2 linked regions of the Lonchura striata genome follow. The protein of the gene in region 2 purifies or fractionates together with the protein of the main gene of each other region. This does not show direct contact. Links are inferred from orthologs where the notes say so. Each region holds a gene or a part of one and is shown on either strand. Other genes may lie near its edges.

What was found.
Region 1: the proteins of PTPRO (region 2) and SDF2L1 purify together in Homo sapiens (affinity purification with mass spectrometry; 3 studies listed by BioGRID and IntAct, with this or other methods). This does not show direct contact. The link is inferred for Lonchura striata from reciprocal best matches to the Homo sapiens genes PTPRO and SDF2L1.

The regions. Positions count from the first base shown.
Region 1 is NC_134620.1:7,198,259-7,213,141, forward strand, and holds SDF2L1 (stromal cell-derived factor 2-like protein 1), read left to right. Parts: upstream 1-8,443; 5' UTR 8,444-8,486; coding exon 8,487-8,670; intron 8,671-9,388; coding exon 9,389-9,585; intron 9,586-10,558; exon of another isoform or gene 10,559-10,782; coding exon 10,783-11,061; 3' UTR 11,062-12,143; downstream 12,144-14,883.
Region 2 is NC_134607.1:9,820,183-9,835,474, forward strand, and holds the start of PTPRO (receptor-type tyrosine-protein phosphatase O), read right to left. Parts: upstream 5,794-15,292; 5' UTR 5,759-5,793; coding exon 5,540-5,758; intron 1-5,539.

The sequences.
Region 1 (14,883 bases), on a different chromosome or scaffold from region 2:
CCAGGTCCCATGGCTCTTGGTGCTGGGCTAGAGAAGGGCAGGGAGAACAGATGAGAGTTTCACAAAGGGCAGCTTTAACATGCTGGATGTCAGCCAGTTCTCCATCAGGCGGCATGTAAAATCTTATTTGTCCCGGCACTGAACTGCTTTTTCTTACTGCAGAAAAGCTGTTCTGGATCTACCAGAATGAAAGCGAAAGTGCTAAGTACTCAGCTTGAAATGGAGAGTGGAAGATACTGTTAGCCTGCATTTTTCACCTGTGGAAGAGGATGAAGTTCTATCAAAGCAGAATGACCCCTTTCTTGGTCTGTAGTGTTATCCCAAAACAACAAACTCATGTTTGAGGTAGGGAGAATGGCAGCTCAGAAAGTGCCATGGTAACATGTCCATGGATCCAGGGTAGCTGTCTTGGTGTTTGCTGTAACTTGTTCCAGGAAGCAGGGATCACACTGGGACTAGGACTCTTCCATGGATGATGGTGATTTCCACCTCTGAACCTGTGCCAGCATGGAGGTAAGTGCAGAAACAGCTGACAAGCCAAGCACTGGCTTCTTGGAAGAGCAGCTGGAGTGAAATGGGTTGGAAAAGGGTTTAAGGGTCGTTTCTGTGGGAATGGACTGACAATCCTGCTGCTTAATTTGTGTATAAAGAAACCAGTGCCTACAGGTGTCTCATTTTTCAGCAGAGTTCAATTCCTAAAAGACAGCCAGCATGCCCATGCCCCAAAGTCAAGGACATGACTTGTAGGCACAGCCAGAGACTGACTGTCTTCAGCAAAGCAAGGACCATCAGTTTGGAGACAGAAGCACACTTCAGCAGAGGAAATTGCACCCTTTTCACACCTGAACTTTGAAACATCTGTGTGGGGGAATGAACATCTGTGGGAGTAGTGGTTTTCCAGGTCTGTCTCCCTACAAGGAATTTGGAATCACTGAGTTGAGGTAGGTTGCAGTCCTGTTGATCTGTAGGCTCTCATCAATTCCAGTCCACGTAGCAAACTGCTACAAAACTTTGTTTCCATTACTCTGAGGGCAATTTGAGGGGCAGATGATAAGTTTTGGATGACAATATTTAAGTTTATTTTGATAATTTGAAGGAGAAAGAATAAAATCAGAATGAGTGGTAGCAATATTGTTCATGGTAGAATTTGGTTCCTAGGCTGTGCTCTCCCTATAGGGTCCAAAATGGGCAGCACTGGGAGCATGGGAAACTTCTGCTGCATCAAGAGGGGGACACCTGTTGTCACTTTCTTTTTGTTTCTTGTTCTTCCCTGCTCATGTAAATGAGCAATGACTACTGAAAATTATTGTGAGAGCTGGAAGACAGCCTTCTGCCTCTTCAGTGACATTTTCTCTTAGAAAAAAAAATATATGAAATGAAATTCAAAACCCATCATGCTAAAATGCTGTAGACAACTTGCTAAATCTTCATTCAGGCAATTCCTGTGAGCTTTTCTGTCATTTGATAGTTGTGTGGCTCTGTTACAGAAAACTTTTTGATGTTCTGTAAAGATTTCTAGTGCCCTTGGCATTTCAGAGGAGATATTTGTGCACCTGCTACTTGCTTCCCCTTCTGGGAGATGAACGTCACAGCCTGCCCACATTCCCCAAGAGGCTTCACTTACTGATGAGTGCTGTTACTGTAACAGCTCAAGTCAGCACAATTCTGAAGTAATGTCATGAATCATAAAATAAGCACCTCTTCTCTTTGCCAATGCAAACTCTGGGGTTTTTTGCCTCTTTCTAGAACTGCCAGTGCTCCCTGACTCTGCACAGGTGAGAGGCACAACATAAGAATCTTAGACAAAGCTTGGCTTCTCAGCCTTCTTAACCTTAGTATGCATTTAATGCTATTAACGGTAACATCCTTCTTAAATATTTAATGCACTTCCTGGAAGCTTTTCTTTTCTGATTTCATACCTGTTTATCCAGCCGTCCTTTCTGCCACTGGAAGCAAATACTCCCCAGCAAGCGAACCTTGCCCCTGTGCCACATCCCTTTAGCAGCAGTGCTCCCTCTGCCCCCTGCACTCACAGCTGGCTGCCAGGATCACCCTAGCAGCTGAGCCTCACAGAGCCCAGAGGTGAAAGGCCCTTAAAAATTCAACCTGGAGCTGAAAGACAAAGCAGACTTCCTCTGGACAGTCTTTCCTCTGCAGTGAAGACAAGCACATTGGCCAGGATTTCTGGTGGAGCTGCATAAGCCAGGACATGGACTAAGGAGAAGCTGCATCTTCCAGCTTAACTAAAACAAAACACAGCCCTACCTCAGCTACAAAAGCCAGCAGGAGCCTTCACCATCCTCAAGTGCTTCACTGCTTTTGAGCTTGAATTTCTTTTCCCTGAACTTTGAGTTAATCAGTAGAAATGTTGAGGTTTTCTGTATTTCACAAAGGTTTTTCCAACAATTACTGCTTCCAAAAAGGCGTCTGTTTACATGTTGACATAAAAAATGTGTTTTCTTTTTCTTGTTCCCTTGGCTGCAGTTAGTTAGTTCATGTGGGATTACAATGGTAGCACAGTAGGATTTTGTTTGTCTTTTCCTTGAATGAAATTTTGTTGAAAGTGTAAACTGTAAAAGGCATTGAAATTAGACAAAATAAAATCCATTTTTAAAATGAAAAGATGGAAACATTTTGTTCTCTGTCCCAGCCTCAGAGGTTTTGTAAATCTTTGAAATTCAGTGGCTTCTATAGAAATGCTTAATCTACAGTTTTTCATCCATGGAACAGCTTCCTCCATCTGCACTAGAAAGGGTTGAAACCCCCAAACTCTGGGGGATTTCACTCTGCTAAGAGCGAAAGTCTTCCCTGGTTACCATGTGACACAGCCAGGCAGTACCTGTCACCTTCCTTCACCCATGTCTGAAATACCTGAATTTATACCAGCACAAAATAATGCCTGGCAAGGTGTGTGGTCCTTGCAAAGTGCCTGAAAGGCAAAATTTGCCATTGTGACCTTCTTATTAACTTGACACTCGGCATTAAATTATGGAGGACTGGTAAAAACACCAAACTCAAATCCCTCCTGATGCATCTAGCAGGCCTCTGGTCCTTGGTGACACTGTGGCTCATGGATGGTGAAGTTTAATCCACTCTCCCTTTTTTCAGAGGGTTATTTTCTCTCTGCTGCATTTCCTTCCATGTCTAATGTGTGGTAAAAAAAAAAAAAATTGAATATGAACTAAACTACAGCATCTGTGATTTCTGACTGGGGTTGAGATGATGTTAAGCCTGCACATTCCTTTTCCAGATACCTCTTTGCCTGATGTCGAGGTCTATTAAAATATACAAAGAGACCTGGTCAAAAAAGAGTTGAGGTGGGGAATATTTCTCCTAGGCAATTAAATGTTGGGTCCAAAATAGGTACAGTTTAACTGTGTACATTAATAACTAAACCTAGACTATCTGATTCCATGAACTGTTTGATTGCATCAGGAATTCAGTTTGACATCTCTGAAAGTTATTATAAAAGATGCATAGGTGTTCTGCGGAATTTTCAGAATTACATTAATATTTACCTGCCACTGAAACAGATGTCTAGAGGTTTTTCCAATCCCATTGTTGCAGCGTGAGGCGTGCTGGGTGGCTGCGGCGGGGGCGCGGCTGTGCCCTGCGAGTGCTGCAATCCCAGTTATCGGCAGCTCCGGCAGCGACACACAGCGATGGCACGGCTCTTGGGGTGGAACAAGATGGATTTATTATTCCTGGGCTCCCAGACAAGACTGGGGCCGAGGGGGGTGAACAGAAGTTTTTATACAGCAGCTCAGGAGTAGGGATGTAGGAAAGTGAACTAATGAGGATAAGGTAAAGGAGGAGTGTAAGGTGGGGTAAATAGCTTGCGAGACTATCAGGGAAAATGGGGAGGGAATAATACAAAGTAACAAACGGGGTGTCGAGGGCAACAAGACAGACACAACTCTCTGGAGAAAGGGGTAGGGATAGGGAGGATTCACAACTTGGAAGGGAGGAAGTTAGGAAAGGGCTTGGGAAATTTAGCATCCCATGAAGAACTAAATTATTTTAAAAGCTGCCTGATGTAACGTACATGGCATTTTTACATTTTTATTCTAAAATAGAAGCTAATCATCAAAACAACAATTCCAATCCATGCCTACAAGTTCTAAATAACTTCCTCAGCTTCAACTTACACTGTCTAAACAAAAGCAGAGTTAGGCCTGAACCTGATTATTGCAAATGTTGATCAGGAGTCATTAAAACAAAGATACCAGAGGCAGGTCCTTATGTTAAGGGGAAAAGAATTAATGCGAACATTGGTAACACCTCAACAGTGTAACTACACAGGAAAGTTTATCTGGCAGATCACTTACAGTGAGTGTTGTTGCCTCCCAGCACCACTGAAAACATGTGAAAAATCTCAGTTGATCAAATAGAAATGCAGATTAATTCCTCTGGGGTTCTGAGGGGAGATCCCTTGCTCTTGAAGGATCAGCATCAGGCAGGAGAGTGGCTGAGAGATGGTGACAGTGACAGACACAGATCACCAGGACTCTGCAGAACTTCCCAATCCTCTCTACCTCAAAGACCAGAAATAGAAGACAGCAATTAATCAACTCTTCTCCCCCAGATGAAAAAATCTTCAATTTAAATACAAAAGTATGTGTATGTTAATACTCTTTTTGTCAAATGTCTTCTGCTTTTTTACTTACTCTGCTTATTCTTACATTATGTTTATATCTACTGAATGCAAAAATCTGAGTAAATTATTTTGATTATCTAATCCTTAAGCAATTTAGGCTCAGTGATAAGAAAATGGAATTCTATAAATTTTTTATCACTTGGATTTCTCCCTGGGTGACATATTTTATCATTATTACTCCTGTTCACTGTTTGTATGAGGCTTAGGGGTCACAGTTGGAAGAGCTCTGTTGTAAGGCATGGCAGTAGAGACAAATGTTTCATCTGAAGTGAGGTTTATAACCAGCTGTTCCACAATGTGAAGTGAAAGAAGGAGACAGAAGAAAAGCACGCAATCTTTGCAGACCTTATTGTCTTCAGCTACTCTGTTGAGGTCAGTACAGTTCACCTTAATTGACATCAGAGAAGGGACCAGATGCAGAGAAAAGTCAATGCAAGAGCTCATGTGGGCTTGTTTCTGTATCAGGTACTAATGGTTTCAGAACTGTCCCTGTCTGTTTTGCCTAAGGTTTGTGTTGGTCTGGGAAAGAGCCCAGGTTTTGCTGCATAATCTCCATAAATCAAGGGCTGTCTATACCAAAAGATGCACCAGTGTGTTTTGGGATATAGACCATGCCCAGGAGTTATCAGCTCTGCTACCTTAGTTGTCAATAACTGCTCCAGTCATGCAAACAGAAAGTTTAAAGAATCTTAAACATAGGCTAATATAAAAACTATATCATTTTTCTATAATCTGTTGCTTTGGGTAAGCATACACCCTCTGAAATTTTCTTGTACCACAGATTTTTAATTCCTGCATGTTAAAAGCATTTGGCACTGCTCAATCATTTTCTCAGGGAGGGCCAGGTTAAACCTACAGCTGCACCTAAGTGGAAATGGTAGGAGTTTCCAAAATGCATAAGGATGGGGCAGGTGTGTGTGTGCGCGTGTGTGTTTTGAGTAGATGAAGGCTACAGATGTGGTTACATTTTACATCCTCCCCTTTTACAGCACTGTTGAATTACTTTGTTTCTGTACATTTACAAGAATCATAAAGAGATTCCTACCAAAAAAAAGCTGATGTCCCCATTACCAAGGTGAAGCCATATAATTCCTGACGCAATTTTACCGGGAGTTTACAACAATCCACCAGAAACAATAGAGGGCCCTGTGGCAATGAGATGGTTGTTAATTGCCGTGGGTGTTAGGCATTGATGGGTTCTTTGTTGGCAACCGTTCTAACCCAATTATGTGTCTAAAGTGGGACTGAAAAGCATTGTAGGGAGCACCATGTAAACGGCACTAAATGCACTGAGACTGAGCGACCTCCCATAAAGACAGACAGGTGCCAGCTAAAGCCCCATATGATTGATTTTCCACGGCTAAAATGGCAACCACAGACATCTGGTTTTGCCCCAGTTATAAAAACAGAAGCAAAACTGGGGTGGAGAGTTTTGTTTCCCACAGAAAAGGGCCAGCATTCGTGTCCAGGGGCCTGCACCCCACCCAGGCGCCTGTGACCCCGAGTGGGCTGCCCCTCCCAAAATTCCAAATGGCTCAGGATGGCTCCCAGACCCAACCTGCCACCGCCCAGGATCAGGGCTGCCCTGGCAGTGCCAAGCATCTCCTGCAAACTGACATCAGGAAACTGATTGTTGTTCTCTTAGAACAGTAAGGCTGCTTAGAATGATGTAAAAATATGGTATTTGACTATCAGTGGGGGAGTTTTTGCTTCTCTGTGAGTAAAGCTTTATACCTCCAGCACTAGGAATTGAGTTTTAAGTCCTGAGGAAAGCACACTCTGTGTGTGCATACGCATATATGTGACCTGTGTTTAAGACTTGGGCTTGTTGTAATGCTGGCCTGGCATCTAAGTCAGAGATTTTTCTCAAATGTAGGTATATCTATGGAAAACAGGCCAAAGCCAGCACAAAAAACTAACCATTTGATTGAGTGGTATCACATGGGCAGGAAAAAACCTTGCAGCTTTAACACTTGTGGAAGAGAGAGTCAGCTGAGCATCTTATGATGTTTGCACTACCCAGCAACACTAATGTGCTTTCTAAATCATCTTGTAATATCAAGTCCAGTGTTTTAGTTTTTTGCTGTTGCAAGGACAAAATGCCATTATTACAAAGATGTAAGTCACGAGGTGGGAGCCCTTCTACCTGTTTCCTTGTCACTAAGATCAAAATCTTTTGCTTTTTTGAATTCCTTTGAATTACTCACAGTTTTGCATGGGACTCACGCAAGGCTGGGATGTGGTACACGGGTCAAACCACTGAGCAGTTTCAGAGGTAAAAGAACTGTGTAGGAGTTCAAGTGTCCTTTGTCAATGGCCACCTCTTATTGAGGTTTTTTTGGGGGGTATTTCTTCAGTTTGCAAAACTATGCAATAAAGGACAGTATGTATGTTAATTTATGCAGGTTTTTTCTGCAGAATAGAGCTTAATAATTTCTTAGTTATAAGAATTTTGCAAGAGATTGAAGCACAGAAGGTGAATTCTGGGATGCAAAAGCAAAGATGTTATGTTATTGCTACAGCTTAATGTAACAGCAACCATTGCTAGTTCTTCTTTGTGTAGTGTTTATGCCCTATAATTAGAAACTATATTATGTCCTATAATTAGAAGCTCTAATATAATCCAGAAATTACTGGAGCTGCAATGCATTATCGTCCAAGTCACTTCACAAACATGAATTCCCTTTGTTTTCCAACACTGTGTTACTTTTCTCTGTAAATCCCCCAAACGGCTAGATATTTACTCCATTCTAAGAGGCAGAACTGCAGGGAGGAGCAGACCTAAATGTGCCGCCTGCCAGCTCTGAGCTAGAAGTGGCCTGAATGGAACAGCAGGGGCTGATTGACCTGACAGTGCAACTGCGGCTCCCCGAGGCTGGATCTAAACACTGCCCGTACCTGGCTGTGACTCTGAGCCGGTCTGTCTCTGACACTGCTCTCGCTGTGAGGACATTTGTCCTTCCTCTGATAATAACTGAACGGTCCTACCCACAGCGCCTTTTCCGTCTAGGCCCTTTAACAACCCCTCAGCCTGACCTGGCTGTAATTTTTCATACAGCCCAGACCACGTTAGACGAGTGACAGACAGTGGCAGTGACAGACCTGGCCTCTCCTCCTACGTTCTCAGCAAGGGCAAACTGCAGAGTGGTGCCAGCGCTGTCCCGGGGGTGCCCAGCAGCCGGAGGCGACACCTCTCCGTGGGTGACACCTCTCCGTGGGTGACACCTCTACGGGGGTGACACCTCGCCGGAGGCGACACCTCTCCGTGGGTGACACCTCTCCGTGGGTGACACCTCTCCGGGGGTGGCACCTCGCCGGGGGTGGCACCTCGCCGGGGGTGACACCTCGCCGGGGGTGGCACCTCGCCGGGGCTGGCACCTCTCCGGGGGTGGCACCTCTCCGGGGGTGGCGCCTCTCCGGGGGTGACACCTCGCCGGGGGTGGCACCTCGCCGGGGGTGGCGCCTCGCCGGGGGTGGCACCTCGCCGGGGCTGGCACCTCGCCGGGGGTGGCGCCGCTCGGGGCCCGGGGCCGAAGGCTCAGCACAGCCCCGTGAGGGAGCAGCGCCCGCAGTTCTCCTTCGCGTCCTCACCCGAGGGAGGGAGGGGGGGGGGCGCCACGCCGCGCTCTCTGATTGGCTAGTTCCCGCCTTGCCGGTTCGCTATAGCCCAATGAGAGCGCGCGGCGGGGCGGGCGGCGGGCGGGGATTGGCTGAGCGCGGCGGTGGGCAGGGCGGTCGCTGGGCCCGCGCGGGGGAGCGGAAGCGCCGCTCTGAGGGCGGCGGTGGCGGCGGGGCTGAGGGGCCGGCGGGGCCGGCCGGGTGCGCCGCGATGCGGGGTGGCCGCCGCCTCTTCCCGCTGCTGCTCCTGGCGCTGCTGCTCCTGGCGCTGCTGCCCGGGCTGTGCCATGGCAGGGAGCCGGCGCCGGGCGCCGTGACTTGCGGCTCGGTGCTGAAGCTGCTCAACACCCGCCACAGCGTACGGCTCCACTCGCACGAGGTCAAGTACGGCTCCGGTGAGCAGGGCCTGGCCGCGGAGCTGGAAAATGGCGGGGCACGGGCTGTGAGGGGCCGAGGAAGCGGGGGGGACAGGTGGTGCCTGACAGGGAAATGGCGGGGGTGGGCAGGCAGTGAGGGTTGTGGGGAAGGTGGAGGAAGTTGGGTTTTCCCGAGGTTGATATCCTTGGTGCAGAGGGAAGTGGCAGGCCGCGGTTGGGGTTTAGGGCTGGGCTGGAGACACGACAGAGACAGAGGGATGCTGAGGCCTGTGGGATAGGAAGATGTGTCAGCTGCTTTCTGGGCCCTGGAGTCGGGATGTGACAGGGCTGCTTTGCCCTCGTCCCCTGCTCAGTGTCAAGGCCTTCAGCAGTACCTTCCAGTGTCTGTTCTGACAACGAGGGTGCTGGTCTGTTGGGGAACATGAAGACCTTGATAGTATTTTTGATAAAGGTGGGATGGTGTGAATAGTACCTGTCATGGATAGGATTTTTTTCTTGCGTTCACCATGAACTTTGACAGTTTGCATCTGCTAACACATGCTGTGTTTCACTGCATCCATCTGAAAGATGATTTGGTACCTGCGTTCCTTTTGCAGTCAGTAAATGGACTGTGAGAATTAAGCACTCGTAAACATGAAGGCATGACAACATTGAAGCAAACTTCTGTAGTTTTCTCGTGTCTTTTTGAACTGGGGAGGCGGGATAAGTCTTGTGTCATTTAATTCTATTCAAACAGGAAGTGGGCAGCAGTCAGTGACAGGAGTTGAAGCTTCAGATGATGCCAACAGCTACTGGCGGATCCGTGGGAAGAGTGACAACAGTTGCCAGCGTGGGACACCTGTGAAATGTGGGCAAGCCATACGACTTACCCACGTTAACACTGGGAAAAATCTGCACACTCATCACTTCCCATCACCACTCTCCAATAACCAAGTGAGTTGGTTTAAATCTTAAGCTTTTGTACAAGTAGTGCATGCTATTGACAATAGTCTCTCCAGTTACTTGGGTTTTTGGAGACTCAGACTTGAGTACCAGCTACCAGCAGCAGTATGTCTGTGCATATCCAGATTCAAGTATAGGTTTTTCTGCATCTTAAAATGATGTATTTCAGTTCTTGACAGAGGCAGTACAGTATGTGCCAGCATTGGTATTTCACAGTACTTTTAACAAATCTGCTTTTTTTTCTTTTTCTGCACTGTTGCTGCTGGGAAGGCTGTTCTGAAATGTCGGATGTTTTTTAGATGCAGGTGATTGAGTACCTCTCTCAACATTGTGAAGATTGCTCTAGAGCCAGGCAACTAGTCATGTGTTATAACATTAGGCATTCCTATGTCCATGTTCCTTGGTGATCCAGTCTGTTAATCTCATTTGTCTTCTTGCTATCTCTATTTCGTTACACTGTTCGTATTTTTCTGTCCTCCTTCCACAGGAAAACTGAACTGCTCTTGTAATCATACTTAAATACAGTTTTGTACCTATCTAAAAGAGTGTAATTTCTAACCATAATTCAGCCCCAGAACAAATACCTCTCCAGGATGGAAGATCTATTGTAAATAATGCAGTTGTTGGAAGATTTTTGTTATTAGTCATGTCAGTCTTCCATCAGGCTGTGTAGATAGGTTGTTACATTGAAACTTGGACGATGTGACTCTTTGTGGAATAATTTTTCTTCCACCATGAGTAAAGTGGCTGAAGCAATAAGGTTCAGCTCTGTGTAGGGTATCTTGATAATCTGATGATTAAAAGTGATGGAAAAATAACATTTCAAAAGAATTCTTTAAGGGAAATTTTACTCTGAAACCTTCGTCTGGGTTTCATTTTTCAGTGTAGACACTTTGTATCTTGTCATTAAGGTAAGAATATTCAACTGTCATTGTGGGGTTTTGATTTATTTAGAGTTTTTCCAGTACTTTTTGCTCAGAGAACAGGTTGGAGTTTGTTGGCACTTTGTGTTCAGATTGTCTGGTAGAACCTTACTGCTTCTGGCTTAGGTAATTGTTGACAAAGCAAAACAACAGCATTTCTTTCCCCATCCTTGTCTTTGATCTCTGCTGAGTCTGTGGTTGATGTCTGTGTGTCCTGGAGGTGTTTGCTTACACTTTCACTTCAGGAAGCTTGTGTCTCTAACAGGAAGTAAGTGCCTTTGGGGATGATGGCGAAGGAGATGACCTGGATTTCTGGATTGTGCAGTGCAGTGGGACTTACTGGGAGCGGGAGGATGCCGTGCGCTTCAAGCACGTGGGGACTGAGGTGTTCCTGTCCATCACGGGGGAGCAGTACGGCCACCCCATTAGAGGCCAGCGGGAAGTTCATGGCATGCCTGCTGCCAACCACCACAACTATTGGAAAGCCATGGAGGGAGTCTTCATCAAACCCAGTCTGGACCCTGCAAAACATGATGAGCTCTGAATTGACACGGGATCCAAAATGCTTCGTTTGACTCCAATGTTTGGAGATGCTAATCCTTGGTTTCTTCTAAGTCCTGCCTTGCCTAAGTAACTGATTTTCTGTGTTACTGAAGGGCATTAGTTCATTCTAGGAATGCAGCACTTCTGTGGGGAATGGCTTCTGCCAGGTTCAGCCACTGACATTTATTTGGTGAAGTCCTTTCTGAATTTCCAAGCTTTATTGGTGAAACTAGTTCATACATCTGTTAGGTTTTGTTGTCATTTGTTTGCTTGTTACTTTTTCTCGAATTCAAAGAAAATGAAAAAATGAAAGTAATACTTTTCTCTAGTCTCAAGTACAATAAATCTTTGTATTTTGTAATCTTTTTCCAGCTGTAATTAAATATTTAGAAACTGATTTCTACATCCTAGTGAAAGAATGTTATTGATGAGGAGATGGATTGAGTAGAAATGGAACAATTGTTCTGAAATATGGTGTTTTTTGAATGACTTACTCAGCTATTCAGTCTTTGAGTTAAAAAAGTATCCATTTGAAAATTGCATCCAATGTCTTACGAGAGTTTAATTCTGTATTGTATTAGAAGACTTGAAAATATAGTGTATGTTGGAGTAAGAAGACAAAATTTTAATAGTTGTACTTTGTCCAAGAAATTCAGTTGTTCTAGTAGTGATGGTACAGCTGATTGTCCATTGGTAAGGCTGCTCTGCTCTATGAACAGGTGCAGAAAACTGCTGCTTGCTTAATTAATATTAGAATTCTACAGAGTTTCTTATGGTGTAAAGGAACGGTTAAATTTGGCTTCTGTGTCACTCTACAAGATCAATATGACAATCCAAGTGAATAAATAGTGAGGCATACACCTATGTGGGCTTTTTTATGTGTGAATCCAGAAGAGCAAAAAAAATCTGAGACAATGGTTTGGTCATGGATTTCTGACAGAGTGGTATGCACTGGAGTGTTAGCAAGGAATCTTCACTGAACAAGTTAAGAATTTCTGTGTTCCTCTCTGAAAATAAATTAATTCTTCGCATTTTTTACACAGTGTTACTGGAAATATTGATTAAAATTCAAAATACCATGTATTTGTGATTCTGTATCAAATTGAAAAGCTCACTGAATGAGCGAGAAAAGTCAGAACATTCAGGTGTTCTTGTTTCCATGTGTAAATAGTTTACTGATTACTGTGCTCATTAGTCAATCAGTCAAAGAAGCAGGAAACTGATTTGCTGCTCTTACAGCTCCAGTCAGGAGCTGCAGTGTTGGTGTTATGTTGAGAGGGTGCAGTAGGCACTTGAGTTCAGCTTTACAAATCCACCGGGCTGCTCTGTGCACTTCATGCAGGAGTCCAGCCCAGGCTGGCTCCAGGCTTTATTTAAGGATATCCTGCTAGGGAAGATCTGTCCAAGCCCTATGGAACAAGGAACTTCTGTGACAGCATTTCTGGTGTACCTTGCTATTTTTCTTCAAAGGAAAAGGTAAGAACATTTTTTTAGTAATTTTACTTGCATGTATGTATTTGGGATTGCAAGGCAATGTAAGGATTGCAGGCATTTTGGAGATTAAATAGACTGGCTTTTGCTGTTTTGTATTAGAAGTAAACTTTCCGGTGATTAATATTTCAGGTTCACTGATACTCCTGACTAATTGGTATTGAGGTTATAGTTATAAAAGGATAATTATTTAAAAACAAACCAAACCTGCATAAACAAGATTTTCCCTTTTTAAGGAGAGCTTTTCTTTTGAACGGTCTACACATAAGCACAAAAAATGTGATGGCACTTGACAGGAGGAAGAAATAGTTTTGGCAATGAGTTCTCTAAGTTCACTAAGAGCTAAAAGGCTTTGTGCCTACACCATATGGGCTTAGTGTTTGTGCACCTGTGGAATACTAAACTGGCTGAGAAGGGGTAGAGCTGTGGGGCTCATCTTGGTCTGTGTGCCAGGTAAAATCCCCACCCAATGATTGTATGTGCCTGGATGTTTCTGTCCTTGGCAAAGGTGGTTTTCAGTCTTATTTATTATGCTTGAGTGGGATTTCACTGGACCTTTGACTTTCTGTTCTGGATTTGAACCAAATTCATTTGGTGAGGGTGTGAAAAAACTTTTAGCCTTTATTGCTTAGTTTATTATGTTCTGTTCTGAAAAATATTTGCACCTTTTGTTCCTAAACCAAGCTGCCACACACAAATATACCCTTGAATGCCTTATTTAAAGACATGTTCAACAATATCCCTGTGTACTGTTTCTTCCACTTCTGATTCTGACCAAAGTGCATAAGTGACTTAGCCCTTATATTTCGCTTGGGAATATGTCACAATAGTTGGGGGCATTTTGTTTAGTTGGGATATTTTCCCCAATTTTTATCACTGTAAGTGGTTGCCTGAAGGACTCTCAAATAAGGCTGGTTGAAATACATGTTACTTTGGAAAGATGTAATACAGTACTCCAAGAACTACTGGTACTCCTAGCATGCTGAATTCTGGCTACAAAAGTCATGTTAATGTAGCAAGTACAATAATTATAGCTGTGAAAAATGATGGCTTGTGGTCATGTGCAAGCACTGAGATTTCAGAGTGTGAATCAGGTATTTTTATTTACTTTGTCTGCTCATAATTCAACTTTTAGTCTTGCCCCCATGAGTAAGGATTAGACACTTGGAGAATCTGTTTCTGTATTGCTGTATGGTGGTGTTTGTTTTCCATATGAATTTATTATCTGCCTAAAGCTCTTGGGGCTCTAGGGTAAAACATGAAATGTAGCTATAAAAATTGGGAATTCTGTTTTATTTATTTTTCTTTATTTTAAAGTGATACAGAGAATTTTGATAGGCGGTATAAAATGTATTTAACCTTGAAAAGTTAAATGAAACCTATCGGTTTTGACTTCTGATGCTAGCAGGAAATAATTCTTTCAAATAACTGACAGTTGCTTACCTGTTTCTCACTTTTTTTACTACAAGAACTCTGAAAAGCTGCACCAATGTTACTTTGTACTCCTCCTTTAAGAAACCAGAAAGGCTTTTGGGGAATGAATTAGAAGGCTCTGTATTTGTAATTGTTCTCAGCGGGAATAGTTGCTAGTCAGTCTTTGAAATCTGTCAATAGTGCATTTTACACATATATCTATATCTAGTTCAATATGAAATGACAGAGTTTCTTAGATATGTTAATTTTGGAGGTGTGTGCCTACAGACATTTTTACTCTGTTTCTGGAAATTCTTTAAAGCTCTGTACAACTGCCCTGCATATGAACACTTGCCACACATTTTGACTTTTTAGTCAGGATGAATGAAACCTGGGTTTAGTTCTTCCAGTGTTCTGGAAGGGCTGTGTTGCTTACTGATTCTTCATTCTGAATCTTGAGGCTAAATATAAACCAGTGATTATATTTAAATGGTATAATCATAATTTAATTTATTGTGTTTAGGAATACTAATTGGGTATATCTGTTCTTATTAGGTTAAATTATCATATCATTTTAAAGAGGAAAAAAATACAAAGCAAGCCTGTAACAATGACTCTCACTCAGCAGTATTTCTAAGCCTGTTAGTTTTGCTATATCTTCTCTTGTCTTCTGCCTGCCTTCCCCAGCACTGAAGCAGTAGCTGGCACTGCAGATGCACCACATTTCACACCTGGCCTAGACAAAGGCTGAACTGTAGCAGTGTCTTCTTCAGCAGCAGCATCCTGCTGGTGTCTGACTCCCTTGGCATCCTTGCTAGCTCTTTGCCAAATTCCCTGCTGGCAGCTGAGAACTGTCAGAGAGCCTATCAGAGATTTGTGTTTGTAGGGTGTCTAATGCTATTGCCCCTCTTTCCTAGTT
Region 2 (15,292 bases):
ATTATCTCTGTTCAGCTCCTCTGAACTGCTCAATGCTTGTGCTTAAATACCATGCTCACATTTTGCCACCCCCAATATTATGTTACCTGTTCAAATATCTCACATATTTTCTTCTCATGTCCATGCTATCACCTCAAGACCAGCATACTTAAGCTTAAAACTTCTGCTAACTCTCTTCCCTGGTGCTGTCAGCTATGACACCAACTTTTCTATCACCCACACTTACTGTAAAGCATTTCTTCCCTAAATACCTGCATTCATCAAGAAGGGAGACTGCAGAGCTTGCCACACTCATTCCATCACAGCCCTGATACAAAGTGCTATCTTTATGGCAAGCCAGACACCATGCATATAATTTTATTTCTGGAACTCCCTCTAAAAGCCACCGTAATTTCCCAGCACAAGAATAAGGGGGTTCCAGAAATGCAATGCATCATGTTTGGCTTGCTGTAAAGATGGCAAACTCCTTCCCTAGGAATTGCTCCCTTCACTGGCTGCCATTCATTTGAGATTGCAGAGTGCTGAGAAAAGCAAGGTAACCTTTCTGTTTCCAGTATTTCCCATTCTCTATTCATCTGTTATACTCCATATGTGGCAGCTAGCATATGCTGCCACATTTATCTCAAAGTTTTTCCCCTTTTCAATTCTACATCGACAGAAATTTAGTAAGGAAAAAACCCAGGAAGTTACAACTCTTATGTGAAACATCTAATAAACCAGTCTCTTAATTTATATTACTGCACTTGTAGGTACTCAAGTCTGTGTAAAGATTTTAATTTCAGAATATTCTTAATATTTATTAAAGTTGTTTTTTTCTTCACGTTGCAAACAACTAAGTTTTGCCTCAAGAAGAGAATCTTTAAAACCCTGAGTAAAAAAAAATGGAATCACTAATTTACTAGAAGACTGCTCAGGATGACAATGCATACTTCTCCAATGAAAAAGGCAAATAATTTTAAAGAACACTTAGAATCAAAGTTAGCTATGAATCTTTTAAGTTCTTCAGCAAAGATACCTGCTTCCAAAGGTTTATTTTTTGACATTTATTGTCCTGACTCATATGCCTAAGTAAAAAAAATGCTCCCTTCCCTAGAGCTGAGACTGTCTGGTAAAATAAGTCTCAAAATGGATTTACACAAGGCTCTGTTCAGTTTAGCATACAATCTGAAGCTCTGTAAGGTCATTTCATGATCTGCCTGGATTGCTCTGTGTGGTGACAGCAGAAATGTAGAGATTAGTGGGATTCTCAAGTTCAGTCAGCACTTCCCAGGAGCCCTTTAATGAATTGCCATGGATCACCACAGGTAAGCCTGTTCTCAGCACAGCCCATCTCAGCCTGGATGAGGGATCACCCTTGACTGCAGCTTCTGACCCAGGTGATACAACCTAGAAATTGCCTTACTGACCCTGTGCAATCTGAGTCTGGGGCTCATAACTCCTGCAGACATGAAAGATCTTTTCTCAATGGTCCACTGTCATTTCATCACAAGGAAGTCTGCCAAAGGGTAATGGAAGACTCTTATTTCACTGGCAGAGAGGGGTTTGTAAGTGCCTGCTGCAGTTCCGTAAACATGACTTGGCACAAGCATCCTCTTCTTTGGCTTTGCCCTCCAGAATGACCCTGATCTAGATATTATCCATGAAAATGAAGATATAAGAGACAACATGATTTGTAGTAGTTTTGAGCTGAGGGTGACTGTTTGTAATTAGTTTTTTAAAAAAGAAAAGTATTTGCTTTTCCTGAGAGGATGCTTTTCTCTCCCATACAGGCTGGACAGTCCCAGAGCAGTGGTAGGAAGAAAAGACTTTTACCTCTGGGCCTGTCCCATCATGAGGATCCCTTACATTTGTTTTGCAAACAAAAATGAGCTGGAAGTGTAGGTTTGGGTCTTTCTTTATTTTATTTTGACACTAGCAGAACATGACCATGAGGAAAGAAGACAAACTTGTCTCAACCAGAGCTTCAGCTGCCATCTCTTGGAGAGAGAAGAGATGCCAAAAGGATTCCATAACAAAATTCAAATTATGTGTTCATTGCTTTTCCCAGCAGGAGGAAACAGCAGTGACACACACTGGGGCTCTCAGCTGTGAAATCAGCCTCCCTCTTAAAAAGGTTTTTCCTGCAGAAAAAGGCAGCACCCTAATGGTAAGGCTTTTACTTCAGATTATTAATTGAAAATGTATATATACCTGAAAAGTACACCAGTAGAAACAGATTTCCTTTGCTGGGTAAGGTTGAGTAAAGTCTTACAGAATCTCAGCCTCTTTGAATATATTGGCCCGTGTAAAAATGAGTTGAGAGTTCACTATGAACTACAAAAACTGATGCAGTATTGGACAAAATTCTACCCTGATAGACACAAGACGTTGTCCTTCCTAAGAGAAAGAAAGAGGGTGGTGCTGATTTAAATGAAGAGCATATGATATACAAAGACCTCAATCTCCTGGAAATAAGAGATGCATTATTTTACTTATAGAAAATTTTTCTGAAGAGTGTCATGACTGCTACTTAGCCCAGACATGGAAGCAATGTGACAACCAGTTTTCTCATTATTTTCCTACTGAGAGGCTTTCTTAGAACAACTTGGAGGTGGAACAGCTTGTAAACCATGTCCCAGCACCAGGTTTGGCTTGTTCAAGATGCTTTTGTTTTCTAATTAAGCTTTACCGTCTACCCCAGAAATAATTCAACAAAGCAACCTTAAAGCTCCCAGGTGCAAGCCACCAACAATGTGGGATATCTGACACATCAGGGACATGATCCAGAGCAGAACTTCAGCTGGCCAGAGCTCAGTGCAGTTATGACTAAGGGAAGGTTTCTAGGTTGCAGTTAGAAAATATGAGAAACTTACATCAGTCACTGGAATGAGGGAATGTGTCTACTTTTTATTCTTATTTATTTAGCTGAAGTACAGCTTTTCCTTTGGGCTGTGCTCAGCCCTGCCTTTGCCATGCCAAAATGAGATGATTACAGAGCAAGTTGCTGAAGACTCTGCCTTCCAGCCATTCTGACTGAAACAAACTAACAGAGAACACAGACCCACTGCAAAATGGCAATATTTTAAGAGATTCCTACAGCAGCAAGGTTGGAGTCTTCTCTGAAGCAAAACCCACAGCCCTGCTCCTCTTCCAAGTACTGTGAATCCATCCTGGTGTCTGAGCTTGCACACAATGCCTTTCTTCTGCTAATTTCTAAATTAGCCATCACATAAAAAAAAATGCTAAAGAATGAGAATGGTAAAGGTTTAAGATCACATTGTGGTATTTCCAAAATTAACACTATGCTCCTACCCTGGGGCACAGAAAGCATCCACATCACGCTGTTAAAGAAGGAACTAAACCTTACTAGCCCATGGGCAACTGAATCAGGCACATGGCATGCAGTGGGCAATGTTCCTGTTTGATCTCCTCTTGTCACTGACCCAGCAGCCTCAGAGAGTATAAGGAGTTGGAATAAACTGGCACTATTACTTCACACCATGAAATATTGAAAATTGGAAGACAAGAGAAGAGAGGAGAAAATGTGCTTTGAGCAGCTTTATCACTTTGCAAAGTCTGCTGATGATTTTACAAGTTGCCAGATGGGCATCAAGGCCACATCAAGCAGATTCAGCTTAGCAAGTGACATTTGGGCTGCTAACACTGAAACAGCAAGCACACAGACATCAGTTTTGCCTGTCTTCGGATTCATCAGATCAATGCCACTGCTTTCTCAATGAGATTAACTTCCAGGTGAAGCACCAATTTAATAAATCAAGTCTGGTTAATCTTAATATTGTTTCAACAGGTTGGTAGAACTAAACAGAACAAAACTGGGGAAAAGCCTTGTTTTGAAATGAGTTCTTTTTAATTATATGTCACTGAAAATAATTACACAGATTTTGAAGAATATTCAGTGAATTTCAGGCTCAGGAAAATGGTCCTCTTGTGGTGATCTAAAACAAACACTGTTTTTACTTCTCCAATTTCTCTCCTGTAACCAGATTTACTTTGACTATCACTCCAAATCTCATTTCTTTTACTGTAGTGTTCAATACCAATACAAAGATAACTAATTACAGTGGCCTTACTATCCAATGAAAGTCATAATCCAGTCATACAGGGAGATACTGATGCACCTCTATCTGAAGATGCAGCTTAACCTTCTCTCACTCTACAAAATTCTGCTAATGCTCATCAGCTTTCTTTGTCCTCCCAGTCCCAGGTTTACTCAGCTGGGGAATGATGGTTATTTCCCAACAAAATGACAACCTGGGCCCTTGGCTACCTTCATACCTTATCCAGTTACTTCAGATTTACTATTCATTTAATACAGATTTAAATTACCTATTTTCTGTCACGCTTTACCACAACAATGATAGTAAAAAAAAAAAAAAAAAAAAAAAAAACAGTACGTAAACACCTTAACTTAAAAAAAAAACAAACAAAAAAACCACAACCCGCTAGGACATAGAATAATGTACATTCCCTGATTGTGGGATAAACCAGCTACTTAAAACTGTGTGCACTTGTATGTTTATGAAAAAACTATAAACTTTCTCTTTCTACTGGGCCATAGCATACTTTTTTTTTTTTAAATGACCACAGTCCATGGAAAAAATTTTGTCTGTCTATTAGCATTTTATCTTGCATAAATGTATGTTTCAGCAGTTATGAAAATGAGACTGTTATCAGTTGATTACTCTATGTGAACAAATGCTGTGAAAGCTTCCCTTAAATAGTTCTGTCAATGCAATGTCAATTTTAGAAGCAACACCACTGCTGTTCCAGGACATGATCCTGCAAACTCTTACTCACATAGGGAGTCCTGATGATTTCCATAGAACATTTACATTTATAAGGCTCTGAAAGGTCAGGTCCTTAGTCGCAGAGCTCTGCTTAACAGTGACTGACAAATATACAACAAAGTTTTTAGCAGTGCTGAGCGCTGTTCTTTAGGGCAATGACATTTACACCCAGCAGTATTCACTTGGGCAGCACATACATTTTCTTTTAGAAGTTACACGAAGCATATTAAATACACCTAAGAAACCATGACATGAGCTAAAGCGTAAAGATGAGAAACGCCATGTGAAACGCCATATGAAACCAAGCTTGCGGTATGAGGCAGAACTTTGAAAAATGAATCCGCCGAGAAGACAGGCTGAGCTCGAAACACAGAACTGCTCAGCTGTGCCACGATAAACCCAGCACCATCCAGCATCCTCCCCTTTGTTAGCGGCATCTCCATCAGCGGGGTCCGCCGGGATGAAGGTGCGAGCGCTCGGAGGGAGCGGCCGGGCACGGGCGGTGCTGAAGGACAGCGCAGCGCTCCCCAAAACGCCGCTCGCCCTCCCCGGCACCGGCAGCGGGCAGAGGGCTCGGTGCCGCTCCCCGGGGCTGCCGCCGCTTTCGGCGGGATGCGGGAGGCAGAGGCGGCGCATCCCGCCCCGGGCTGCTCCCGCGGGGCACAAAGCGGAGCGGGCACACAAAGGCGGCGCGGAGGATGCTCGGGGCCCGCGGGAGGGGGTGCGTAGCCCTCCCCTTCCCTGGCACTTACCTTCAGCAACACAAAGAGCCAGAGGAGACAAGAGCGGGCCCCCGGGGCCCCCCGCCGGCGGCGGTCGGGCATCGGGGAGGACGGCGGCGGCCTCGGCCTGCGGGGGTGGCTGGGCAGGGGCGCCTGCTGCTCCTGTGCCCCCGGGACCCCCGGCTCTGCCCCCCGCCTCCCTCCGCTCGGCTCCGAGCCGTGCCCGGCAATGGCGAATTGCGGCAGCATCAGGCGGCCGGCAGCGGCGCCGGCCTCCCCTCGGAGCGGCGCATCCTGCTGCCCCCCGCCCCTTTTATTTGGGGTTTGCGGCGGGGAGAGGACGGGAGGAGGAGGAGGAGGAGGAGGAGGAGGAGGAGGAGGAGGAGGAGAAGGAAGAGGAGGCGACGGCGGGTGCTGTCTCCCCTCCCAGGAGTTTGGGCGATCGGGAGTGGCAGCAGCCCCCGGCGGAAGGCGAGGGCTGGGAGGTGGGAGATGGAGCCGGGAGCCGCCCTCGGGCCCGCACCGCCCTGCCCCCGGACCCCTTTGTCACAGCAGCTGCTCCCCGCTGGGAGGAAGCACAAAAAGCCATCCTGACCGCCGCTCACCCACCAGCCCTTCCCCAGCTACTGCTTTCCTGCCGCGATCGGGGCACAGAGATGCCGCCAGCATCCGCGGGTGTCTGGTGGGGCAGGGCAAGGAGCGGCCGGAGCGGCACTGGGAGGAGGCTGCAGGAGCTACAGCTGCAGGAGCTAGTACCCACAAAGTCCCTGTGGCTGTGCTCGTCTGGACAGCTCTTCAAATGTTCAAGGTACAGGGCTGAACCTGCAAGGGATGGAGACTGGAGACCTCATTCTGTCCCACAAGATACTCGGGGATACCAGGGATGCGAGGGGTACTGAGAGAACTCAGGTCACCTCCCCTGTTCTGTCTTCCCCCCACATCCCACCCAGCGAGCCTGCAGATTAATCAAAGCCATCTCCAAACACTCTTAGCAAGAGTCTTGCTTAAGATGATTTTCTCTGAGAAAAAAAAAACAAAAACAAACAAACAAAAAAAAAAAACCAAAAAAAAAAAAACCACACTTTGAGGAGCCAAAACAAAATCCCAAAGGACTTAAAGACCTTCCCCATTCAACCACCACGATGAAAACAGTCTTTCCAAAGTGAGAAACTGTGGGAACTCAAAATGTCTCTCAGACATTTTTAGAGGTTCCAGGCCTTGGTCAGAGGCATTCTAGACCCTGGCAGACAGCTGAAAAACAGCTGTGATTTTGAGTCATGGAATGAGTTACCAACTTTGGAGGTGGAACAAGCAGTCACAAAAGGTTAGATAGTATAGTAAAAGTAATTACAAAGTAGAGGGGAAATTTTTTTAGTATTGTACAGGGGGCTTTTAGCACATGTACAAGGGGGTTTTTACTTTGTACATGGGGGTCAGAAGTTCTAAGATGGAGGAAAGTGGGCTGATCCTGTTCTTCCTCCTTCTTCTTCCTTACCTCCATGTTCTTGGTGATGTTGGCACTCACAGATTGGTTTAGAGTAGAAAAGCACTTTGTAATATAGATAGTAGGTATTGGGGGAAAACTATAAACATGTAATACGTAATATATCATATAAAAGATAGCAGCAGCCCTGGGTGGGGAGAGAGAAGAAGAAGACAGCAGATAGAGAGGATGTCAGGGTGTGTGTGTGTGCCTCTGCCCAGGCCGCTGACCAAACAGCCACAGCCCAATAACATAATCTGTTAGATAACTAGCAATAAATCATCTTGAGACGGAACAACAAGAGACTGCGGAGTTTTTCTTTGGAAGCACAGGTTGGAGGAGGAATTTCACCACCATATGAGACCCCAGAGCAAGGCTGGGGTTCTCACAAGAAACTACCTCAGAATCCCTTTTGTCACAAACCACACTCTCACTCACACCAGTATAAATTAGGATGTATCTTTGGTAACACTACCAGAGCTATAACAAAAACAAAATATAATTGCCAGTGTAATAAACAGCTGTGTCTGTTCAGAGCAACTTTGGGTCTAGGTGTACTGCCATTACTTAGAGTAATGGGTCACTCACTCTTCCTTCAAAAAATAAAGTAGTGGCTAAAAGTAGATCCTGGGATGGTTTTCAGATTTTCTAAATCATTTAGGCAAGATGAACTCTATCACAGTCTCATGGGAACGTCCTTTAAATCAAACAATTACAAAGCTTTTTTCTAACAGCACTGCTAAATTGGACAATAATGAATCTGTGTTTCAGAGACCTGCCCAGCTTATACATGGCATATTTTTGATTTTCTTATAATTTGGACACTCAGTCAACAAAAGCTTGATTTCAAAGTGGCCAAAGCCAGAGAGGGATGTGCTGAAATGGGCCCTTGAGCAAAGATTTGCAATACTTGATGGGGATTAATCCAGAAAGCGAAAGAGAAATACGGGTCCTGTGTAGACATTGGCACAAAGCCTAAATATAGAAATCCAAAAGGCAAATGTTATCCACATGTTCATTTATAAGAAGCTGTGGGCATTAAAGATGTACTCAATGCTATCAGTGAAGGACACAGACTTCTCTTGGGTATTCACTACTCTGTTAGTGTTTGAGGCATTATCTGAAACTGGTATACAAGGGGTTAATCATAGCTAAATTTCCTTCAGTATTCATGTTTAGGATGAAGAGAGGTTATCTGAAAGACAAAGATGTGAATTTCTTTAGGAAACCAAAATTTTGCCAGTATTTGAAAGCTGCAGATGGAACTTTAGGCTGGGAACCTCTTGTTTATTAAGTAAATTGAACTTAAATTATTTTTGTCCTTAGGACTGTATTTTATGCTTCTTTCTTCTCCAGTATTTACAAACATTTAGACATTAAAATGATGATGGCATAAGCAAGGCTAAAGATCAAAGATATTTAAAAGGAAAAACAAAAAGTAGAAAATTCTAGTAGCATTTTAGCCTCAGGACAACACTATTGGAATCAAAGAGAGTGAAAAATAGCTAAAAGAACTGAGAAACATTTCTGCAATGAAACCTTCAATAAAGTAGCAAGATAATAAAGTTTTCTGATCTGGCTGTTGAAGCTGAGGAAAATGCAGCCAAGAGAACTCAAGGATTGCATCCTCTTTAAGTTATGGGGGTATAAGATTACTCAACTTTTTCAAAAAGGGACAGTGCTTTGGAAGATTCCAGTTTGTAAATAGAACCTAATTCTTCAGGAAAAAAATACAGAGCAGAGGGAAAAATAAGATCTATAAAAACAGAGTCGCCCTTATTTGTTTTTAGAATCTAAACAATAAAAGCAGCCAGTCTATTAATACACCAACAAAGCTTTAAAAATGGAGACAATGAGATAACTTTTTTGTACTCAGGGAAGAAGAAACAGGATAATTTGTGAAGTTAGTAAAAGATACTGATGCTCTTTAACCCTCTCCATGGGCCCAGGGGGAAAGGAAGTGTTCAGCAGGATACCTCACCAACTGGAATTTCATTTATTTGGATGAAAAACACACAAGCATTTGACAAAAATTTTAAAAATAAAAATAAATCAGGAAAGATGGGGAACATTTGTTCTGGCGTCAAACATGTTTTTTTCTGAATCAGATATTGGGATTTTGGTGATTTGAACTAAATTCCCCCCCCCCCTCCCCCCCTTCCCCTTTTCTTTACATTTCAGAAACCTGAAGAAACCCTTCTTGTCAGAAGGGTTCTGACCCTTCTACCTTCAGGGAAGAAGCTGGAACACATTCCCAGTTACTAAGGCAGCCCTGTACAAGTGAAAGCCCTGACCTTTGCACTTGTGCAGCTCCTGCAATGCAGAGCAGCTCGCTGGCCACAGAGTCCTTCAGTCCATGTCAGACTTCCCTTCACTCACATAAATCTGACACTTGTGGAGCTCTGCCACCTTTCCCCAGAACTCATCAAACATCCTTTGGGGCATTGCAAACTATCCACAAGGATTATGGAAGCCCAACTCCTCCACTACAGCATGGATTCATAACAGGACCATGTTGCGTTACAAACATCTCTCATTTTTCCTTCGGGATCTCTTCCAATTGAAAGACATCCTAATTTTTCTTGGTCTGTGACAAACTCTGGGCTGCAGTGGGCACCTGTCAGAGCAGCCTTAAGGGACTTTGGTTCTCTCTGAATGCAGCTGGCAGAATCACAGTGAAGCAGAGAACTTAGAGCCTGATTGAGAGGTGCATAATGTGGTGTTTTGATACAGGGTCCTGTCTCTACTCACTAGATTTACTGGAAAAGCTGGGCAGGAATTATTTATTCTGATGATGATTATAATTATTGTTTATTCTGATGTGCAGTATGCAGGAACATGATAAAGTATTTCAAGGCATTACAGGACACAGCCCTAGAAGGCAAAAATGGTTTAAAGAAAATCCTCTCACATTTTGAGAGGAGGACTCCACATCAAACACACAGTTTCAAAAACTTCTCAGGTCACTCATCACCCCCTTGAAGGCTGTATTAGTTACAGTGCTAGAGCTTTACCTTTATTTAATAGCCTGATTAATTAAAACACTGGTGTTTGCTTTAATCAGCTATTTAATGCATCATCCTAACTAAACCAGTGTTAATTACCATATACCACCCTAGATTATCAAAGAAAAACAGGAATCAAATGTTTCATGGTTTCAAATGTTTGCATGAATGTTCCTGCTGGTACCTTACACAGATTTGATTTAAGATTTATGGCAAATTCTTCCCTTTTCATCCCTGAAAACCCCAGAGCAATATTCTGTCAGATATACCAACTTTGCCTAGCCTACAGAAAAAAAAAAGCTGTAAATTAGCCTTTACTCCTAGTTGTAGTATAAACCCAGAATTATATGAAGGTTTACAGGCCTCCGCAAGTCTGGATAAGCATGACATGAAAAGAGGTTTATAAAAAAACTCACTCTAAGTAAAAGTCATCCTGGTCCAAGAAGTTTTGGAAGCAAAGTTATTCTTCAGTGACAAATGTCCTACGAAAATAAAGTGCAGATCCTTTTTAAATGTCTTCTCACCTAAAGTCATTTCATTTCAATGACAGCAGTGGATAAAACAATAACAAAAACAAGTGCAAAGGGTGGCTAGAATAATGTACATGGGTTGGCACTTATATGTTCAAGTGCAAATTTATCTTAGATTTCAGTTTGATAAGTATGGGCCCTGTGACTTCTAAAAGTGTGCCCCCCTAACAAACAAGCTGTCAGTTTTTTTAAAAATCTGTCTTTTCCTAACAAGAATGATTGACACACTTCAGATGTGCAACCTGATCAACTTCCAGACACTTATTAGTCTTTCAGTGCAGGAGAAGCAGTCAAAAGGTCATTTTCATTTTTAAAGCAGTCACAAATCTGTCTTTGACATTGAATCTCTTCCTCATAAATAAGCATATGAAAGATTTTTGACTGATGTTTCATTCCTTTAGCACTGAAATGGGGTATGGAAAGGCACTGAGTTGGTTTTTGTGGTTTTGTGTTGTTTTTTTTTTTTTCCAGAAGGGAAGGAATAAGCATACCCACAAGGCTGATGAGATTATTTAACATTTAAACAGTGTATTTCACTTTCATTTATCTGTCCCAGGGTATCTGGATGCTACAGGATGCCTGAGAAACAGATTGAGTTCTGTGAACATAATTCTAGATAAAAATTATTCATATATTTATTTTTCTAGTGAGATATTAAGTATTTGACCAGACCTGTCTGTTATCAAAATGTCCCTTTTACTCTTATAGTTCTCTCTCCAGTGTCAGCAGATATGGCTGATAGAAATAAAAATAAACCACACTGCAATTTCTAATTCTTCTTATTTTGTATTGCATCCACAGTGTTTTCTTCCACTTGCTTCTCCATTTTTGTCAATGATCTAAGCAGGCCAAAGACTGGGGAAAGAGGCTGGTTAGGAATTTCTCACTGTCTTCAGCAACTTATAAAGCTATGTAAGTAGAAAAAAAGTGTGACAAAAAGTGAAAAAAAATTATTTTCTTTCTGTTTAAGATGGGTAAATCTTTCTGGGGGTCATTTCTCAGTAATTCCACTGTACTTTCCATTGCAGAACCATACAGGCTTTTTATTAAAAAAAAATAAAATAAATAAAAGGGGCTCCAGTCAGTCACAGCCTTTTAGCACCTTTCACCTCTGAAATATACTGACTTCCTGTGACCCTCACAGGCTCTATTGATTCACAGAAATCTGAGTCATAGTTACAGGAAACAACATTTCTCTCCCAAGAAATTTGCAGTAGGAGCTGAAATTTTGCACAGATAACATCCTTTTCTTCCCTGGCATCTGTGCTGAATTTTTTTTCTCTCTCCATGGCATGGGGGTACTATATCCCAACATAAATATGTAATATAAATATGCATGCCTTACACCAGTGCCTTTTCACTGCCATTTCCCAAATGGCATCACTAAGCAGCCTTTTCACTTCAGATATGTTTTTATAGTATCAGAAGACCCCAGCTGATCAATCAGGCAACAAGACCTGACTAAAGCAATCAGTCACACCGTTTGATTAATTGTGCCAATTACTGGCCACTCAGAGTAAACAATTTTGAAAGCAACTCCGTGTGGAAAGGGGGCCTGCAGCTATGTGAGAATGGGGAAAATGGCTTGAAATCGTAAATGTATTCAGAAAAAAATCCCATTTCATTCACTAACAATTTACTTCCTAGGGGGTGGATTTCGTTCAAAGGAGAGAGAGAAAAGAGAAGATTCAGCAAATGTATTTTTGGCACAGTCAGGTATTCTAATCACCAAAGAAAGTGGGTTGGCAGGATTTAAGAGAATTTTACCTATTATACAGAAATAGCAAGAAAATCTGTAGATTTACCAGCTAAGGCAAAAATGTTTATTATTTAACTTCAATCTTTATCATTTCAAAATCTCAGGGGTCAAAAAGACTGTTAAACACAAAGAACAGAATGATGCATGATTATTTTTTTCATTTTTGCCTTCCTGTACATTATATGTGGGCTCATTCCAGACCACTTGAAAGACAGCCAAGAGTAGGTAGGGGAAAAAAAATTTTTTTTTCAAACTTAAGTGTTAGGACATCTCCATAAAATTCCCTCTCAATTTTTAGACCCACTACACAGCTATTCGCACAATGTTAATTAAATATAGCCCACTTTCCTTTTCAATTGTCATCTTTCACAGACTACCCAGTTTACATAAATTAGCACACTAATATGTCAAATACATCAATTATGAGCTAACACACTCTCACACTAATAGGATTTGCATGTTTTACTTCAGCAGACATAGGACACCTTGTTTTTTTTGGAAAACAATCTAATATATTTGGGCAGCCAACTGTGTCTTCTAACATGACTTTCATCTCCAGGAATGATCCTTCACAGCCCACAGAGAAAAAGCTAGGTGTGAAAATATGCCAGGACCATGGTTTGCTCTGCCTACCCTGATGCCTTGAACAAGCCCTTAAATGAGAAGAAAGCCAGCAGAGCTGAGCAAGGCAGCCAGGTAGCTGTGCTGTCAGGGGAAGTTAGCAAAAGCTGACCCTGAGCTGTCTTCAGTTCCTGTGTCCTAAAGGAAACCATCTGATGCCCTAAGTTTACTACAAGGCTGAAAGGATTTGACAAGGAAAAACTCCCACTGGTTCTGAAGAGAACCCAAAGTTTGAGCTGACAAAGACTAACTAACGTTGTCTTCTGCTCTGACCCTCATGGTCCTTACAGGCTGGCATTGAATTCTACTGGAAGAGCATGGGGAAATCCTGTACTTCAGAGGCACTTCAGAGCCTTGAGACTATCAGTCTACAAGGTAGGGGTGGCAAAAAAAAAAAAAAGATTAGAAAATCCCTCACTGCTAGCAGTGTGCAAAAGAATGCCCACATTAGCTTAGCCAAGGTTATCAAACCCATGACCAATATGGGGTTCACTTTCTTCTGCTTCCAGACAACCCACAAATCTCAAAGTGCCAAATGAACTAAATTGCTATGAAATTAGAGCCACACAAAACTACACGCAACGATGAAACCCCGAACAATCTTCATTTCCATGGCGCTTTTGTCATAATTAAAAATATTCATAGAGCTTTACAAAGCATGAAATTACCTTGGCATTTCCATATCATAGAGTAGAACCTTGGCATTAGCTCAGGATGAAACCCTGGAACACATCAAACAGGCATCCACAGAGCTGTTCAAACGCCTGCCCAGCACTTGCAAAGTGCTTGGAGTGGAATGGAAAATTGTGAATGTGATTGGGAACTGGGAATGGGAAACTGGGAATGGAGATGGGAATGGGGATGAGAATGGGGAACTGCGAATGCAAACAGAATGCTTTTGGACAAGACAGCTCTGACATTGTCTGTCAGCTCAGGAAAGCTGCACAAAGCAGGAGGTAGATCAATAGCATAGAACACATCAGAATGACATTATGGGGACTTGGAGAGAGGTAATGTGTTTCCAAGCATAATAGCTTCAGCTGCAGTAATTAAATGTGAAGCTTTGCTCAGGCTGCTGGATGGCGTGTCCCAAATACACGCAGAGGGCTAAAAAAACAACAAAAACCAAAGGCACACAGGTACATTAACTCCCAGGTGTAGCCAGAAGCAGCTAATGAAGGGTAATGCCCATGAGGTATGATGTATCCAACAAAGGAAGTAAAAATGGAGTTCATAGTTAGAAATGTGGGAAGTGCTGTGGCTACTCCCTGACAATGGCTTGCTCTGTTAGAGCATCACGTTCCTGTAACAAATGTCCACTCAAGCCAGAGGGTCAGTTTATAGGAGAAAAGACCCTTTATTCAGGGTAAAAGCCTTCAGAACTCGGGGTGTCACTCAGGGTGATACTGAAAATAATTCACATACATCTCAAGAATACTTCAGCTTTGGGATTTGTTGTAATTAGTTACCTAACTCCTTTTCTTCATGCAGGAAAAGCCAAATCTTTGTTCATACAACTCATTTTATACAGTTTTTACAGGCCTCATGTGCAACTTTAACTGGTTAATAGTTTTCTTGCCAACTACTCTATTGGTTAGTAAGAGATATTTTACTTGTCTACCCAATCTCTCTATTCTTTAATTGTTTACTTATTTTCTTCATTGATTCTCATGGGACAGATTTAATGTTTATGCGGGTGCTAGTCGTTTTTCTCCCTAAGAATTGGTTGTTGTGTTAACAAACTCCTCATACCAAGATTGCTTTCGCATGGGAGCTTGCGAAGTACTTAGCTGCACTTAGAAGTGACAAGCCAGCTACTAATTTAGCAGAGCAGGCCTGATCTTATGAGACCTTTCTTTTAGAATTTCTCTACCTGTCTGTGACAGGGATTCACACCCATTTTCAACCCATCCTGATGTAGCCAGCACAATACACCCTTCTCCCAGTCTCCTTAGATACTTGCTCCCAGGAATTTCACTCAGGTCTGTTTCTAACTTGAGGAGCTTTCTGAGCTTGGACAGCTTGAAATTAAGATGGCTCCAATATTCCAGTAGCACACAAATAATTAGCAGAACAGCACAGGTTCATGCTGGGGCTCAGATTACCAAGGCACAAATTTAAGTAGTATTGTTGCAAATGTCTGACCATGAAAGCCCATGTTGAAAAAAGAAAGAAGTCTTCAGTTTCTGTCCCATCACTGAGTGAAACAACTATGATTGCAATAGCAAGGTGGATCTGAATGCACTGCCATCAGAGTAATTCCACTTGACAGAGATGAAAAACGGGATCCTGTTATATATGGCAACACACTTTATTACAAAAATCAGACTGTGCTAGGAAAAAAACTAACACAACATATTGAGGTCAACTGAGATTACTGTGGAA